Ovis aries: one gene and its partners. The protein of the gene in region 2 interacts with the protein of the main gene of each other region in a pairwise test. Links are inferred from orthologs where the notes say so. Each region holds a gene or a part of one and is shown on either strand. Other genes may lie near its edges. The genes, in order: PDE6D, ARL3 and ARL2BP.

Region 1 (4,773 bases), on a different chromosome or scaffold from region 2:
CTACCAGGGAAGCCCTTGAACACAGAACAAATCAAAACACCAAGTTTTACCTAGACTGAGGATAAACAAAGACTGCACTCCTTCACTTGCAGGAAAGTCACCAAATAAATGTTCACCTAATATCCACTGAAGAAAAACGTACAACCTAAAACTTGCAAGTAATGTTTTATACAGGGACCTTACTGAGGACTATAGCCCAGGAGACAGCCTCATATAGCCCTGAGGAACTGCTCCAAAAAAGAAAGGGAGGAGCCAGGATATTAGCAGTTTTTGCTGAAAAGAGAGCTTGTAGTTGAACATCAAAAGATTACTGCCAATTAACAAGAAACAGACAACTAGAATGATTTCTGTGGTTTTCTATGCATGGGAAGATGCAAGTGTCTGGGCTCATTGAAATCATTCCCTAGACATGCATCTTAATTATCTAGAGCAAGTTCCTATTTTTCTCCCTCCTGAATCCTCCTCTGGGCCCATTTTCAGCGGTGGCTTCAGTGGCTGATGGCTTGACGGTGGGCAACGTTTGTTGTTTACTGAAATGTCAGGCAACATTTTTTTGTCCACAGTATCCTCTGGGTGTTTCAACCTTGATAGGAAAACTTCACCAAGGAGAGGAAGATCGCATAGCCATGTTGCTAAAAATATCACTACCCTAGTGTAGTGCAAAAAGCCCAGACTGCAGGAGTCTTAGAGCTGAATTTTAACTCTGCCCCAACTTTCTGTGACCCCGACAATCTCTCTGCCTCTCTGGGCCTCAGTTTCTTCATACGTAAAATAACAGAGGTTAGATTAGCAAATCCTCTGAATTCTGACTGCATTGATAGTCTGAGTACACAACCTTTACATCTCTTGGTCCACCGCAGGAGCACACCAGAAATCCCTGAGAAATACCTAACCGGCTCCCCAGGCCAACAAACAAGTACGGCTTGAAGGAGTCATTCTGTTACATTCTTTTTCATGATTTAATCAGTGTTTGTGTTTGTTGTTTCAGCCTTACCATGATTTGCAGGAGATTTCTGGGTTCCATGTAAATAGAAGTTACTTGTCTGTGGGCTGTCATCTTTTGAGGCTGAAGAGGATCTTCCTGCCCGGTTTCAACCCCTGGGATTCAGAAACCACCAAGCCTACAAGCAGATTTAGGGGTTTGCGCACACTGCGCGGCACACTGGAATCGAAGTTAGAGGAACTGAGTGCGGGGAATGCTGGGATTTGTAGTCCCTGGGTTTTCTGTTGCGTGCTGGGATCTGTGGTCCCCCCGGGCGCCCCCTGGAATGCTGGGAAGTGTAGTCTCCACCACATCGCACAGGGCAACGGGCTGTCATCTCAAAGCCCTACTGTACCCAGCCGCAGGAGAGCCTCTGCAAATCTGAAGCAAACTCTCCTCTGGGACAAACTCTAGGTAACCACGCCGAATGAAAATTTTGTCCTACGGGACTTCCCCGTGAGGGCCCTTCCCATTGACGCTCTTCGTCCCCCTGCGAAGCCGCTGAGTGTTTCTATTGGTCGATCAAGATGCCAATCGCCGAGGCAGGCTTCCTATTGGCTTCAAGGCGGGCGCTCAGAGGCTAGAGGGAAGGAGAAGGGATAAGGAGCGGGAGCTGAGGGGAGGGAGAGGCCGGTTTGGGTCTGGCCGCTGCCGCTGTTCTCCCGAGGTCTTCAGGCCGGGCTGCGGCTCCGTCCTCAGTTCCTGGGCACCGTCTGCGAGGCTCCGCCAGGCCAGCGTGAGAGAGCCGCAGGCGGCGGCCGCCGCATCATGTCAGCCAAGGACGAGCGTGCCAGGGAGATCCTGAGGGGCTTCAAACTGTATCCGCCCGGGAGCGGGGCGGGGCCGGGAGGACTCGGGAGGCGGCCGCTCGCTGAGGAGACGGGCCGGGGGCGGGGGCCGCGCCAGGTGGGCACCCGAGGAGAGGGTGGCGGGAAAGGGGAACAGGAACGGCGTCCGGGGGCCCCCGGCGGGACCCGGCGCGGGAGGCGGGGAAAGGGGCGTCTGGAGGAAAGGAGGGGACGTTGATGGGAGACCTGTGGGTAGAGGCAGAGGAGCCGCCGAATGGGGCTGGGAGAGGCTCCGGGCGTCGGAAACCGGAGTCGGGGAGGCGCGCTTGGGTCCGAGAAGGGAGGCCGGGAAGGGGCTGCGGCCCGTAGGGGAGAGCCGAGGGGGCGCGGTGGGCTGACCTCGAAGCCCAGCAGCCTCTGGCGGGAAGCCCACCGGGCAGCAGGGGGAAAAGTGACTTGGAGCGAGTGACCTTGTGTGGGACAAATACAGATGCTGGTGTTGAACTCTCAATGCGAGTGGGGTTCTCGCATCCCACTCCGCACCCCCCAACCCCACCCCAGACGCCACTCCCCTTCTTGTTTCCACAACTTCTCTTCCTCACTTGTGGCTCCTTCCAGGGCTGGAGCGGAGGAAGGTTGGGAGTGAGGAGTCCGAGATGGACCTCACCTTAACTCTGTCTTGGCCCTTGGAGGCGTTGGACGGTCGCTGAGTCTCCCTCAGCTCCTCAGTTGTCTTTCTAGCGAAATGAGGACCCTAGATGTGTGCGTGAGATGCCTTGAGGCGTTTTGGGTTTGCACTGGGACTCCTGGTGAAGGGGTGTGTCTGCTCGCACAAGTTTGTGTGGTTAAGGCGTAGACATGCTGGAACTGTCCAGCAATTGTTTGATTACGTTGGGGACACTGTAGGGTTTAGTAGGGTGTAGAAATCATTGCCTCGGGCCTGTTGTGGTGCTGCAAATACTACCTTCTTACCATAGTGAAACTGTGTTTGAATGGAGTGTTTATCTGTGACCATTTGATGCAGATGGAAAAAGTGCAATCTTCTCCGTTCCAATCTCACATTTTCCTGCTGACCTTAATCTCTTCTCACATCCTATGTTTACAATATGGAACATTCTTCAGTTCGTCTCTTAATGAACATATAGTCATCCCTGTAGGGCTCCTCCCCTGGAGATTTAGTCAAGCACTGTTCTCTGAGCTGACTGTGTTTCCACAGAGTCCATTTCACCCCTGCAGATTTTCATTGCCTTGTCATAATCAGAAACCAAGTTGGTAGTAAGTTTTAGAACCCAGCAGCAAAAAAGTTTAACAGAAAGTTTTGGAGGTACAAATTAAGTTTTTCAAAGGGGAACTGACCTACTATGCTTTTTTTTTTAAGGGAAGGCAATATTACCTAAACTTACTGCCATTCATGATAAACTTTAAATACTTTCATGCAGTGAAGTTTCCTAACAGCCTCTTTTACATATTAATAGCTTCATGTACTTCCCCTGTTTCTCTTCCTGATAGTGCCTATAGATAGGAATGGCTGAAGTGTTACAAAAGCTATGACGTGGATTTTATTTTTCCCTTAAGTAATTTATATTGCTACTTTACATTTATGCTATAAACAGTAAACTGAAGACTATAAAGAATTGAGAGATTTCAGAAGCCATGTTTTTATCTGATTGGAGTTAACATGTTGCTGAAAATAAGAACGGGTCTTTCAAACCAAAAAGGGAAAGTTTGAGCTACTCACCTTCAGTCTTGGTTCTTGAATGTTGTTCAAGAGAAACTTTGGCTCTTGAGAAAGAGGCAAAGGACAAATATGGGAAAGAATAGAAAGTAGAACCTGTGTTGTTTAGTGCATCACGAAACAGGCTTTCAGGGAAAATTTGACCGGGGCTGATTAAATCACATGGGGAGCAGCCACCAAGAAAATTTAGCGTGGAGACAACAGAATATCCTCCTCTGGTAGCTTTTATTCACATCCGAGAATTAAAAGAGAAAAGAAAAGAGTTCTAGGATTTGTTACTACCTTCAGGGAAAAATAAAATTAATATTTTAATAAGAAAATACCTGTTATCCACCTTTTATTGTATAAATTGTTCCAAGTATCTTTTTCTGTAAGAAGAGTCATTTCTACAAAAAGAAATCACCATTTTATTCTCCTGCCAACAATGTTGATAGTACTTATTTTCCACATTTACTGTGTTGGTCTTTTTCTTTTTGTCAGTTTTAACAGTAGATGACATCTTGTTTTAACTTGTGTTTCCCAGATACTGCTATCTCTGGAGAGGTAACAGCATAGTGTTTAAGAGATACGCTGGCTTGAGAGCTTTACTATCTGCAGTGGAATTCCAGCTCAGGTTGTGTGTCCCTGAGGAGCTTCTTTTAACTGCTGTTACAATTTCCTTAGCAGTTAAAAAAGGATAAAAATAGTATCTTATCTCCTAGAGTTATTGTGAGCATTAAATTAGTTGATATCTAAAGCATTTAGCCAAGCACTTGATGCCTGTAAGCACATTGTATTAGCTGTTATCGCTGCCATTGTTATTATTAGAAGTCACAAAATCTGGCCATTTCTTTTTCTTCTGTGAATTGTTTGTTGATTTTGTTTTTGCCCATTTTACTATTGAATTGCGTATTTTTCTTATTGCTTTGTAGGTGTTCTTTATTGTAATGTCAATCCTTTGTGTATATTACATATTGCCAATGTTTCTCTCGACGGTTTACTTTTTTTTTGTTGAACAGAAGTTTAATACTATAAATTCATCAATACTTTTCATGTGACTTTTGAATTTTGTGTCTTGTTTAAGAAGACCTTTCTTATCTTACTGTTAATAAATATCCTCCTATGTTTTTTCTCTTTTCAATGTTTAGCTCTTTAATTCACCTGAAATGTATTTATACATATGGTAGAGAAGTGAAGTCACTCAGTCGTGTCCAACTCTTTGGGACCACATGGAGTGTAGCCTACCAGGCTCCTCCCTCCATGGGATTCTCCAGGCAAGAGTACTGGAG
Region 2 (5,015 bases):
GAGGGCTTGTTAATTTCCAGGAACTCCTATAGCTTTGTTAGGGAGAACTTCACCCAAATCTTTTTTCTCATCTCTCTACTAAATAAATACAATGTTCCCTGAGGAACAAAATACTGGCATCTCCTCAGCTGGAGTGGGTTCTTACTTCATCAGAGTCTTAATGAAAAATACATTATGGGCTTTAGAGTTTCACAGACTTTTATTCAACATCCTGATGGGTAACCTCCAGCATAGTTTCATCTAGAAAATGGGAACAATACTTATATCTCAAGAAGAATGCTATGAAGATTAAATCAGATGATGTGTGAAGCATGCACATAGAGGGAACTCAAAACAGTTGTTGTGTTTATGTTTCTACTTTTCACCGACCATTTTTGACCAGAAAACATAATCTTGGGAACAATCTTCAAATGTCAAACATGCTTGATAAATATCACTAGCTTTATATATTCAGAAATTACTCCATAAATAATTCCTGAATGGAGGACTCATCTATTAAATAACAGTGATTGCTGCTGCTGCTGCTAAGTCGCTTCAGTCGTGTCCTACTCTGTGCGACCCCATAGACCGCAGCCCACCAGGCTCCCCCGTCCCTGGGATTCTCCAGGTAAGAACTCTGGAGTGGGTTGCCATTTCCTTCTCCAATGCATGAAGGTGAAAAGAGAAAGTGAAGTCGCTCAGTCGTGTCTGACTCTTAGCGACCCCATGGACTATAGCCTACCAGGCTCCTCTGTCCATGGGATTTTCCAGGCAAGAGTACTGGAGTGGGATGCCATTGCCTTCTCCTAACAGTGATTGCTGCTGTTGCTAAGTCGCTTCAGTCGTGTCCGACTCTGTGCGACCCCATAGATGGCAGCCCACCAGGCTCCTCCGTCCATGGGATTTTCCAGGCAAGAGTGATTAGTTATGCACAAAAATTACGGTCAATTTAGTATTTCACCAAGGACTTGGCATCCTAAGGTAGGGGTAAAATAGCTGAACTTCTAGGGGTTCAGAGAAATCAATAATGTGTTTTTGTTGCTGTATTCCAAATTTTAAAAGAATAAATATGTATTAGTCATAGCTGAAGGATTAAGACAATAAATAAACCTGGAACTCCTGAAGAGTTACTATGGGGACCCATGGGTATCAGATATGACATACTTAATCATACCACTGACCCTTTAAATTCCGTGTTCCACTTATCGAGTTCTAAAAATAGCTCATACTTTTGGAGATAGAAAAAAAGTGTATTTTGGAAACCAGATGAAGACTCCTGAATAATCTGCCCTAATTCCTTATTATTTATTGTAGGAAAAAAAATTAAAAAAAGAAAAACAAAATCTGTCTTGATCACTGAATACAACAGTTGTATACAATAGTGTTGTGTACACTGTCAATTTGTTGTATAAAGTGTCAATCTGTACCTGGAAACATAAACAGTGGTTAATTTATTGTGGCTTGTAATTATAAATTAAACAGTCATGAAATTACACAGTCCACTTCACTGATAAACAAACTGGGAAAAGTTAGCCCGCTCTCATGCGTTTCTCCTTTATGATGCCATGCCTTTCTCTGTTGGTTTGGCATGCCTTTTTCATTTCAATTCTAGTTATTTTCTGTGTAAATATTTATGTTTGTACTCATTTGTTGAGAAAAACTTAGCCTTTAAATGGACAGCTCATGTATAAACGATTAATAAAAAGCAAACATTTAAAAATCTGTTTAGCCTGAGGTTAATAAAACTGCAGTGTAGCAAGTGTTGAAATGTGATTGGCAACTTCAGATCCAATAATGCTACTTCTTTAACAATGTGACAATTTTAAATCAATTGAAATAAATTTTTCCTATCAAAATTTACTCACTGGATAATCTAACCAAATGTACATGTGTTTTTTTTTTTCCTTCTGGACATCTAGCTTTTTCTTACTTCATAAATCAATAGAAGTGGTTCAACAGTTCTAAAAGTCAAAAAGGGACTGGAGTTGGGACAGGGAAGGAACTGTAAGCTTGAGTGCTAGCTTTCTGCAGCTGGTAAATTTATCAGCCTGCTCCAAACGCTCCGAAATAAATTGTTTCTCCCACTAGTTTTAAAACCACTCAATTTCATTTTAATACCCTCCAATTAAGTGCAGAGAAATCAACAAGGAACAGTGTCAAGCGTCAAATACGTCACATAATTTACGTATTTGGGAAAGCTTTATTCTGGCCTGACAGAGACAAGGCTAGCCCCAAACTGATGGCCACTCTCCTTTTTTAATCTACTCCAAACTGAGACTAAGGCCTTTGCTTCTGGTGTGGTCATATGCAAAGGAAGGTGGCAACAGGTCCGAAGTAAATACTAAGGATCGGGCAGCAAATCTGTCTCCACCAACACGTATTGAACAGGAGACTGGCTATCACCAACAACCAGACCTTGCAGAACCCTCAGGAAATAAAAAACTCGGGACTGCAGAAGCGCGCCCGCCACTCAGACACCGAGACGGCTTAAAATACACCAGACATCCCTTCCAAGCGGCACCTCTTTGTGTCCGGGGATTTACACCCTTACCCCCCAGAGGCCCTCACACCGCGAGGAACAGGAGAGCTAGGCTACCATCTCCCCTGGTACCGCCAGCGCGACCTCAAAGACAGCAGCGCTGGCCCTTCTCCCCGCTTCTAGCCGGGCACTGGTGAACCCCACTCTCCTGCGGCACTGGGAGGCCGATTCCTTGGGAAGATTTAATCCTGCGTGCAGAAGCTGCTCTCCGCAGCTCCTCGGATCCGCCCTCATCCCAATCCCCAGAGTAATGATGGAGCCCTGGCTCCGTACCGCGACAACCCAGCACCCTTCCAGCCCCTTCCCCTAGTTTCGGACAGGTTGCAAGCTCCGCCTTCCTCCCCAGGCCCAGATTCTCTCCAGGGCCCACACTCGGGACTCCCTGCCGCCCCCCGAAACCAATCCAGGACCCGGACATCAGGCTGAGCGCCAGTCCGTTCCCTCCTGTCTTTAAGCGCAGTGCCCTGCCTTGGGCCAGGGGAAGGGAAGCAGGTGACCGACCAGCTCCGGAGGGACCCAGGCCCTCACACTCACCATCCTCCCGCCGAGTCCCTCCTCCTCCTCCTCCTGCCTCCCCCGTTACCAGGGGCAACTGCGACGGCGCCGCCCCCGACGTCCCCCGTACGCACGGCAGAGGAGCAAAGCAGCAGAACGGGGCGGGGTCCAGCTCCGCTTTCCCCAATGTGCGCAAGCGCGTCAATGTGCCCTCCCACTGCGCAGGCGGGCTGCTGGAGAGGCGGGAGAAGGCGGCGGGCTGCACAGACCTGGGGAATGGTGAAACCTCGCCCACGTGGCTGCCGGGGGCCACCCGGCTTGTGATTGGTCCAGAGGGAGGGCGTGCGGGCGGGGCGAGGGGAGGTTCCCGGGCGGAGGCCAGAAGTGCATCCTGGCTTGGCTGCCAAAGCGGGCTGCTTCTGGAAGCAGCTGTGTCAGTCTGTTTCTCCCGGGTCCAGGTAAGGATCTTGAGAGGACGCCTCCTGCAACATCTACCTGTGCCAGGTTTTATTCCCCAGATCCCAGGAGGGAGTTTGCATTTCTGTCTTGACTCTGCCCAGGCGAGGCTGCGGCGCGGGCTGGGCTTGCACCTGCCAAAGCCACGTGGCAAGAGAAGGAGCTACCTGTGGACCCCTTATGGCCTCCAGTACCTTCGTGTGCCAGGCTGAGGAGCGGGGGCGTCATGGGTTGCTCGCTCGTCTGCACACATCCGTGTTAGAATCCAGGCTGGAGGAGTCCTGGTGGTGGGAGGCTGCCTACCGGAGGGCAAGAAGCTGCCTGAGGACTGGCCGTGAGGGCTGGGATGAGGTGATCGCTTACGGGGGTGAAAGGTGTTTGGAATGGATGGTTTTGCTGAACTAAGTTGGCAGGGTCGGTGCGCCGTCTGCAGCCCTGAAGGAGGCAAAAATGGGCCTCCACTTCTAGACAAGAAAGAATGAGAGAGATTGTGGGTGCTATTTCCCACCCCTTCCCCATGCAGAGAAGAATTACCATATTTGTGCCAGCTCTTAGTCTAGACTCTGGAGACACAGCAGGGGGCTAAATCGGCCCTCATGGAAATCACATCCTTCCTAGTGAGATGGTTTTCATACAAGATTTCACTTCATTCTCACAGCCCTAGAAATTGATTATTTTAAGGGTTAGAGTGGGGACCTGAATCCAGTACTTTCTGACTCTTGAGGAATTATTATTTTTGGCTGCTCCATGCGTGGCATGTGGGGATCTTTGTTTCCCAAGCAGGGATCGAACCTGTGCCCTTGCAGTGGAAGCAGAGTCTTCACCACTGGAATGCCTGGAAAGTCCTTGGGCTTAGCTATTGTTAATAGTTTCCTCCAGGTTTTGGGCTTTGCTGCTTTTAAGACCAGCAGGTTTTCAGCCTAGTTAAGATCGTTGGAATGAAGGCAGATTTTCCCTGAATGGTTCTTAACATTTTATGCATTCAAGTAAAGTTTCCACCTATCTCTAGCCTGCTGGTTCTTCTGTGAAAAAGGCAAAGCAGACTTCTCTTCCAAAATTGCCTGGAGTCTAACATCATGGCTGCCAGGGGGTCATTTGATTGTACATAGGCATATACTACCAGGGCCTGCTGGTTTAATTATTAGTCTCATTCTCCAGGTTGAGCTAGGTAGCCTTGACACCAGCCCTTGACATCTTAGTGGACTTTGTGTTTGAACTGTTTGAGTCTTGGACTGCCTTGATCTTCCTCTGATGGGAGTACTAGCAATGATGTTTTGTTTTTCCCCCTAGTAGGGGATTCAAATAGGAGATCTTGGGTGCTTCCCCTACCCTTGCAAAAGGATACTCTAGAAGAGTTTGGAAAGCCTGTTTCCCAAACTCTGATACTATCTGCTTGAGAAAATCAGCTCTCCCTGGAAGGACGAGCATTGCTTAAGGAGAGGTAGTAGGTTACATAATTTTTTCAATATTTTCCCCTCTTCCCTCCTTTTCTCTTTCTTGAGACAAACACCTTTTAGTGGATAAGAGGACCTGTCTAGGTGACTAA
Region 3 (4,860 bases), on a different chromosome or scaffold from region 2:
ATACAGTGAAAGGCAATCACAGATCTGTTAAAAGTGGAGGCTTGGCTTAAGAAACTTTCACCAACTCTGCCATACTTTTGCATTCAAGGAATTAAGTCCTGGAGGCTCAAACTTCTCAGACAGATGAGACCCTAACAGGAGACTGCACAGGGCCTTGGCATATGCAAAGACCCAAGGGTCCAGAGCCAAGGTTCCTGGGTTCTAGTTTGGTTTTGCCACCAACTAGTTAGTGATCTGAGTCTTGGTTTTCACTTTTATCTAACAGTCATGCATACTTGATTGAATTATGCAGTAAGAAAAAATAGTGTGTGAAAGCTGATAGCTCAAAAGTATGTAAGTGCAAGAAATGGGGAGCCCATATACTGTAACTGAAAGCAGGATTATGATAAAGTCAACCATGTTTTTAAAACAGACAAGATCATTAACTATTTGGAAAACAGCCCCAAGAACTATGCAAAGGAAAATAATAGGTGATGAAGACTAAACCCAATTCTAATTAGACTTCCTAGCAGGGTGCTGGTGGCAGATTCTAAAAGCTGAGCAGATTTTAGCATTATTTGATCCTAAATTCATATTTTAAAGAAATCCTAAATTCATATTTCAAAGAAATCCTAATCTCCAGTAAGAGAAATAGGAACCCACTTACATATTCATTAAAAATAGGCGTGTAGGTGAGCTTATTCTCTTCCGTGTCTTCAAATTCCTGGTAGTACTTGTCCATGAAATTCCTCTGTAATAACTGGAACTCATCATCTGAATCGCAAGAGGAAACATATTCTTTTTAACACGTGGGAATTAAATGGCAGCAGAACTGCTTTCTAAATGGCCAGCCTTTAGGAGAGGGAAAGCTAACGGTGTTAAGGGTAAAGTTCGATGGCATTAAGAGGCTTCAAACTGTGTGAAACCACTGCCACCACCCTCTACCCAGTTTAAACACAGCCATTCAGGGCGGGGTGGCTTGGGAACTCCACAAATGGTTCTCTTAAATTCAGCTGCAGTGGTAGAAACAGTGTAGTGATTAGATGGCTGGGCTCTGATAGAGGCTAGACTGCTGCTGCTACTGCTAAGTCACTTCAGTTGTGTCCGACTCTGTGCGACCCCATAGACGGCAGCCCACCAGGCTCCCCCGTCCCTGGGATTCTCCAGGCAAGAACACTGGAGTGGGTTGCCATTTCCTTCTCCAATGCATGAAAGTGGAAAGTGAAAGGGAAGTCGCTCAGTCATATCTGACTCTTAGTGACCCCATGGACTGCAGCCTACCAGGCTCCTTCATTCATGGGATTTTCCAGGCAAGAGTATTGGAGTGGGGTGCCATTGCCTTCTCTGAGAGGCTAGACTACCGGAGTTTAAATCCCACCTCAACCACTAACACTGGGTAACCTTGGGCAGGTTAATTTCTCTGAGTCCCAGTTTCTTCAACTTCAACTTCAAAGTACCTATCATAAAAGATTGCTAGGTGGCATTTAGATGAGGATTCACGTATAGCGACTGATTCACAGCAAACACTTATTAGGGTTTAGGGAATTTCAACAACCAAATAGAATATCTTTTCCAAAAACTAAAGGAATGCTTCACAAATGGCCTAGACGTAGGAATAAATGCCCTGGGATTACAGAAAGCTCATTTCCCTCACTGCACACAAGGTTCTTGTAGAGGCCAAAAGAACTCCAGGTATTCCTCAGCATTCCCCAGGAATCTTCTGATTGACATGGGACCTTAATGTTGTATCTTCATCTGTATTTAGGAGTTAAGGTCATGAACCTTTATAGGACCCAAAGGTACAAAACTGGGTCAAGTGATTTTCACTAAACAAGACTAAGAAATACAGCTAATAACACTAAACAACAGTGTTCTTTTCCTTATTCTCAGCAAACTTAAAAGTCACCCATACGAGAGATTTTTTCAAGTTTTTCTTTCCCACACATTTGTCTTAAATGAGAGATGCTTGTTACCACTTAATACTTAGCAGGACCTATGGATGCCAAAGTGAAAGTTGCTCAGTTGTGTCCGACTCTTTGAGAGCTCATGGACTATACAGTCCATGGAATTCTCCACGGCACAATACTGGAGTGGGTAGCCTTTCCCTTCTCCAGGGGATCTTCCCAATCCAGGGATCGAACCCAGGTCTCCCGCACTGCAGGCAGATTCTTTACCAGCTGAGCCACCAGGGATGCCCAAATGAATCCACAAATAGGAACTCAGGACCTAGGAAAATACGGAACCAGCTGAAGCATGACACCTTGTTCCTCATGGACACATGTGCTATGGTTATGCTATTACACTGTTCTACGTCACAAAAATATTAAGACTCAAGACTAAAAACCACTCTTACTCTCTGAAATAAAGTAGTGAATATTTGCTGAAGTTTTGCCATGAGCCCCATAACTGCAAGTGCCCTGCTACCTGAATGATTCCCTTCTGGGGACTGAATCTATGGTAATCAATTATCTTCAGGAGAAGTGGCTATATGACTTTAAGGCAAACCACAGGACGGCTTACTTCGTATTTCAGTATGCCACATTAAACATTATATGCAGCATGATGTTTTCTCTTTTTAAAAATTAACTCTACAAGTGGATTTCAATGTTGTTAAAAGCAAGAGTCTAAAAACTAACGAGCCGGAGTAGGGAAGCTTACCCATGATAATGTCCTCTAAATATCCAACCACAGCATCAAATTCTGCATCAGAGGCGGAAGAGCTGAAAAACAGACCTGGATTAGGTACTGTTTCAGCTTAATTCCTGGCCCCCTCCCCGCAAATGTACTATGGCCCTTTTCAAATGAATTCTAGAAAACACACTTTACACACCAGTGACATCAAAGTTTAATGTAGTGGATCTACTTTCAGAAAACTGATGGGACACAAGGACTCACAGAGGGACAAATAAAAGGTGCCAAGGCTCACGTCAGACCTCTTAAGGCTCCTCACATTTATTTCCTGTGGGTTCTACTCACCGCATCTTCACTATCACCCCACACCAATCTACTCGTGGGCGGGCGTAAACCTGGTGCGGTCAACACACAGGCCGGGGTAGGGAGGGGCAAATTAGAGTCCCTGGGGGTGGTGGTGTGCTGGCGGTGGAGGGTCTTCTGACCCGCGGTCGAGCCTCGGCCGCTCAAACCCACCAGGTTTTGCTGACAACTAAGGACTGGAGACCGGGGGATTGTGACAGGCGTGTATCATCGCGCGACACCACGCTGCGCTCCTGTCCTCCGCGCCTGAAACCCCGCGGTCGCCGCAGAGGCAGAGTCCACCGCGGGAACTTGGGTGGGGTGGGGTAGGGGGGAGTCTTGTTTGTTTCCCACCCCCACTGAGGGCACTGGTTTCGCAGGGCGGAGGCCTAGGCCAAGCGCCAGCAGCCCCGGCCTTCAGCCTCCCGGGCTCGGGCGGCGTGACTCACAAGGACAGCGCGAAGCTCTCTTCCTCTAGGGCGTCCATCGCCGCCGCCGCATCCACCGCGCGTCGGGGAGCGAACCCGTGGGCTTTCTACCCTTGCCTGCGGCCCGGGCGCAGCCCCTGCTTTGCACCGCAGAGCTCCAACCGGCATCCGGGAGGCCTCGCCGCCGAGCCCACGGCCGGCTCACGGCCCAGCCGGGTAGCGCCTGCGCGCGACGTCCCGGCCTCAGGGTCCCCGGCTGCGGCCACACGCCAGCCGGGCCTCCCGGGCTTCCCAGGCCTAGCTAAACTCCCCTCTACCGCCGCTGGGTCCGGCGTCAGTTACCACGCCCCGCCTCCCGTCACCATGGCCACCGCGACCCTTCCGCCGCCTCGGGGCTCCTAGCAACCAATCACAGGTCTGCGTTACCCAAACCCAGGGGCGGGACAAAGATAGAGAGAGGAAGTGAGGCAAAGGGATGGAGGATAGCCAGAGGAAACTGGGCCGCATACAGCAGGTCAGGGGCTCACTGACGTATACCCACGCTGTCGGGCGATTAAAGCCAAGACGTACCCAATGTGAAGAGCAAGGAATGGAAGGCCAGAGAGAGCCTCGATTTACCCACTTGCTACTTGGGAATGAATTACAAGATTTAAGAAGATTGTTATTCAAATTAGTTTTTGAAGTGAAGTTGCTCAGTCGTGTCGGACTCTTTGCGACCCCGTGGACTGTAGCCCGCCAGGCTCCTCCGTCTATGGTATTCTCCAGGCAAAAATACTGGAGTGGGTTACCATTTCCTTCTCCAGGGGTCTTCCCGACCCAAGGATCGAACCTGGGTCTCCCACATTGGAGCCAAATAGTTTAACCTCTGAGCCGGCACTGTAAATCACGAAGTCTTTCCACAGTCAGTCCCTTAGCTTTTGAGCCAGATAGTGCAGACATTTGATTTTCGAGATAGTTGCTCCCTCTCGTGGAACTACCGCGAGACAGCCACCAAAGCCAGCCCCACCGCAAGAACTGGATGTCTTGTAATTTACATCATGAACATTCACATAAAAAATTATTCGGTAGTAACTCGTTTCTTGGGTAACTAGGCAAGATTAACGTTGACAAAACCACTTTGAGCAACGCAATCAGGTGACTTTGCTCCAGGATAAGACCCCTCCGAACTGCCCAATTTTACAAAAGGGTACCCTAGACCTGTTCTCTGATTGGATCACTAGACATTGTGTCTTTCGGTTGCATTTTATTTTTTGGCCAAATATGTGGTACATTTTAGATATGGTTCATTTTTTTTTTTTTTTTTTTAAGATATGGTTCATGTTTGATCGGGCTTCCCTGGTGGCTCAGAGGTTAAAGCGTCTGCCTCCAGTGCGGGAGACCCGGGTCGATCCCTGGGTCAGGAAGATCCCCTGGAGAAGGAAATGGCAATCCACTCCAGTACTCTTGCCTGGAGAATCCCATGGACAGAGAAGGTTACAGT

The links.
Region 1: the proteins of ARL3 (region 2) and PDE6D interact in binary tests that used the Homo sapiens proteins (3 or more experiments, as listed by UniProt). The link is inferred for Ovis aries from reciprocal best matches to the Homo sapiens genes ARL3 and PDE6D.
Region 3: the proteins of ARL3 (region 2) and ARL2BP interact in binary tests that used the Homo sapiens proteins (3 or more experiments, as listed by UniProt). The link is inferred for Ovis aries from reciprocal best matches to the Homo sapiens genes ARL3 and ARL2BP.

The regions. Positions count from the first base shown.
Region 1 is NC_056055.1:233,481,610-233,486,382, reverse strand, and holds the start of PDE6D (retinal rod rhodopsin-sensitive cGMP 3',5'-cyclic phosphodiesterase subunit delta), read left to right. Parts: upstream 1-1,587; 5' UTR 1,588-1,750; coding exon 1,751-1,800; intron 1,801-4,773. UniProt on the Homo sapiens protein: Promotes the release of prenylated target proteins from cellular membranes. Modulates the activity of prenylated or palmitoylated Ras family members by regulating their subcellular location.
Region 2 is NC_056075.1:23,056,757-23,061,771, forward strand, and holds the start of ARL3 (ADP-ribosylation factor-like protein 3), read right to left. Parts: upstream 3,075-5,015; 5' UTR 3,056-3,074; coding exon 3,053-3,055; intron 1-3,052. UniProt on the Homo sapiens protein: Small GTP-binding protein which cycles between an inactive GDP-bound and an active GTP-bound form, and the rate of cycling is regulated by guanine nucleotide exchange factors (GEF) and GTPase-activating proteins (GAP).
Region 3 is NC_056067.1:24,832,159-24,837,018, reverse strand, and holds the start of ARL2BP (ADP-ribosylation factor-like protein 2-binding protein), read right to left. Parts: upstream 3,440-4,860; coding exon 3,402-3,439; intron 2,700-3,401; coding exon 2,638-2,699; intron 754-2,637; coding exon 647-753; intron 1-646. UniProt on the Homo sapiens protein: Together with ARL2, plays a role in the nuclear translocation, retention and transcriptional activity of STAT3. May play a role as an effector of ARL2.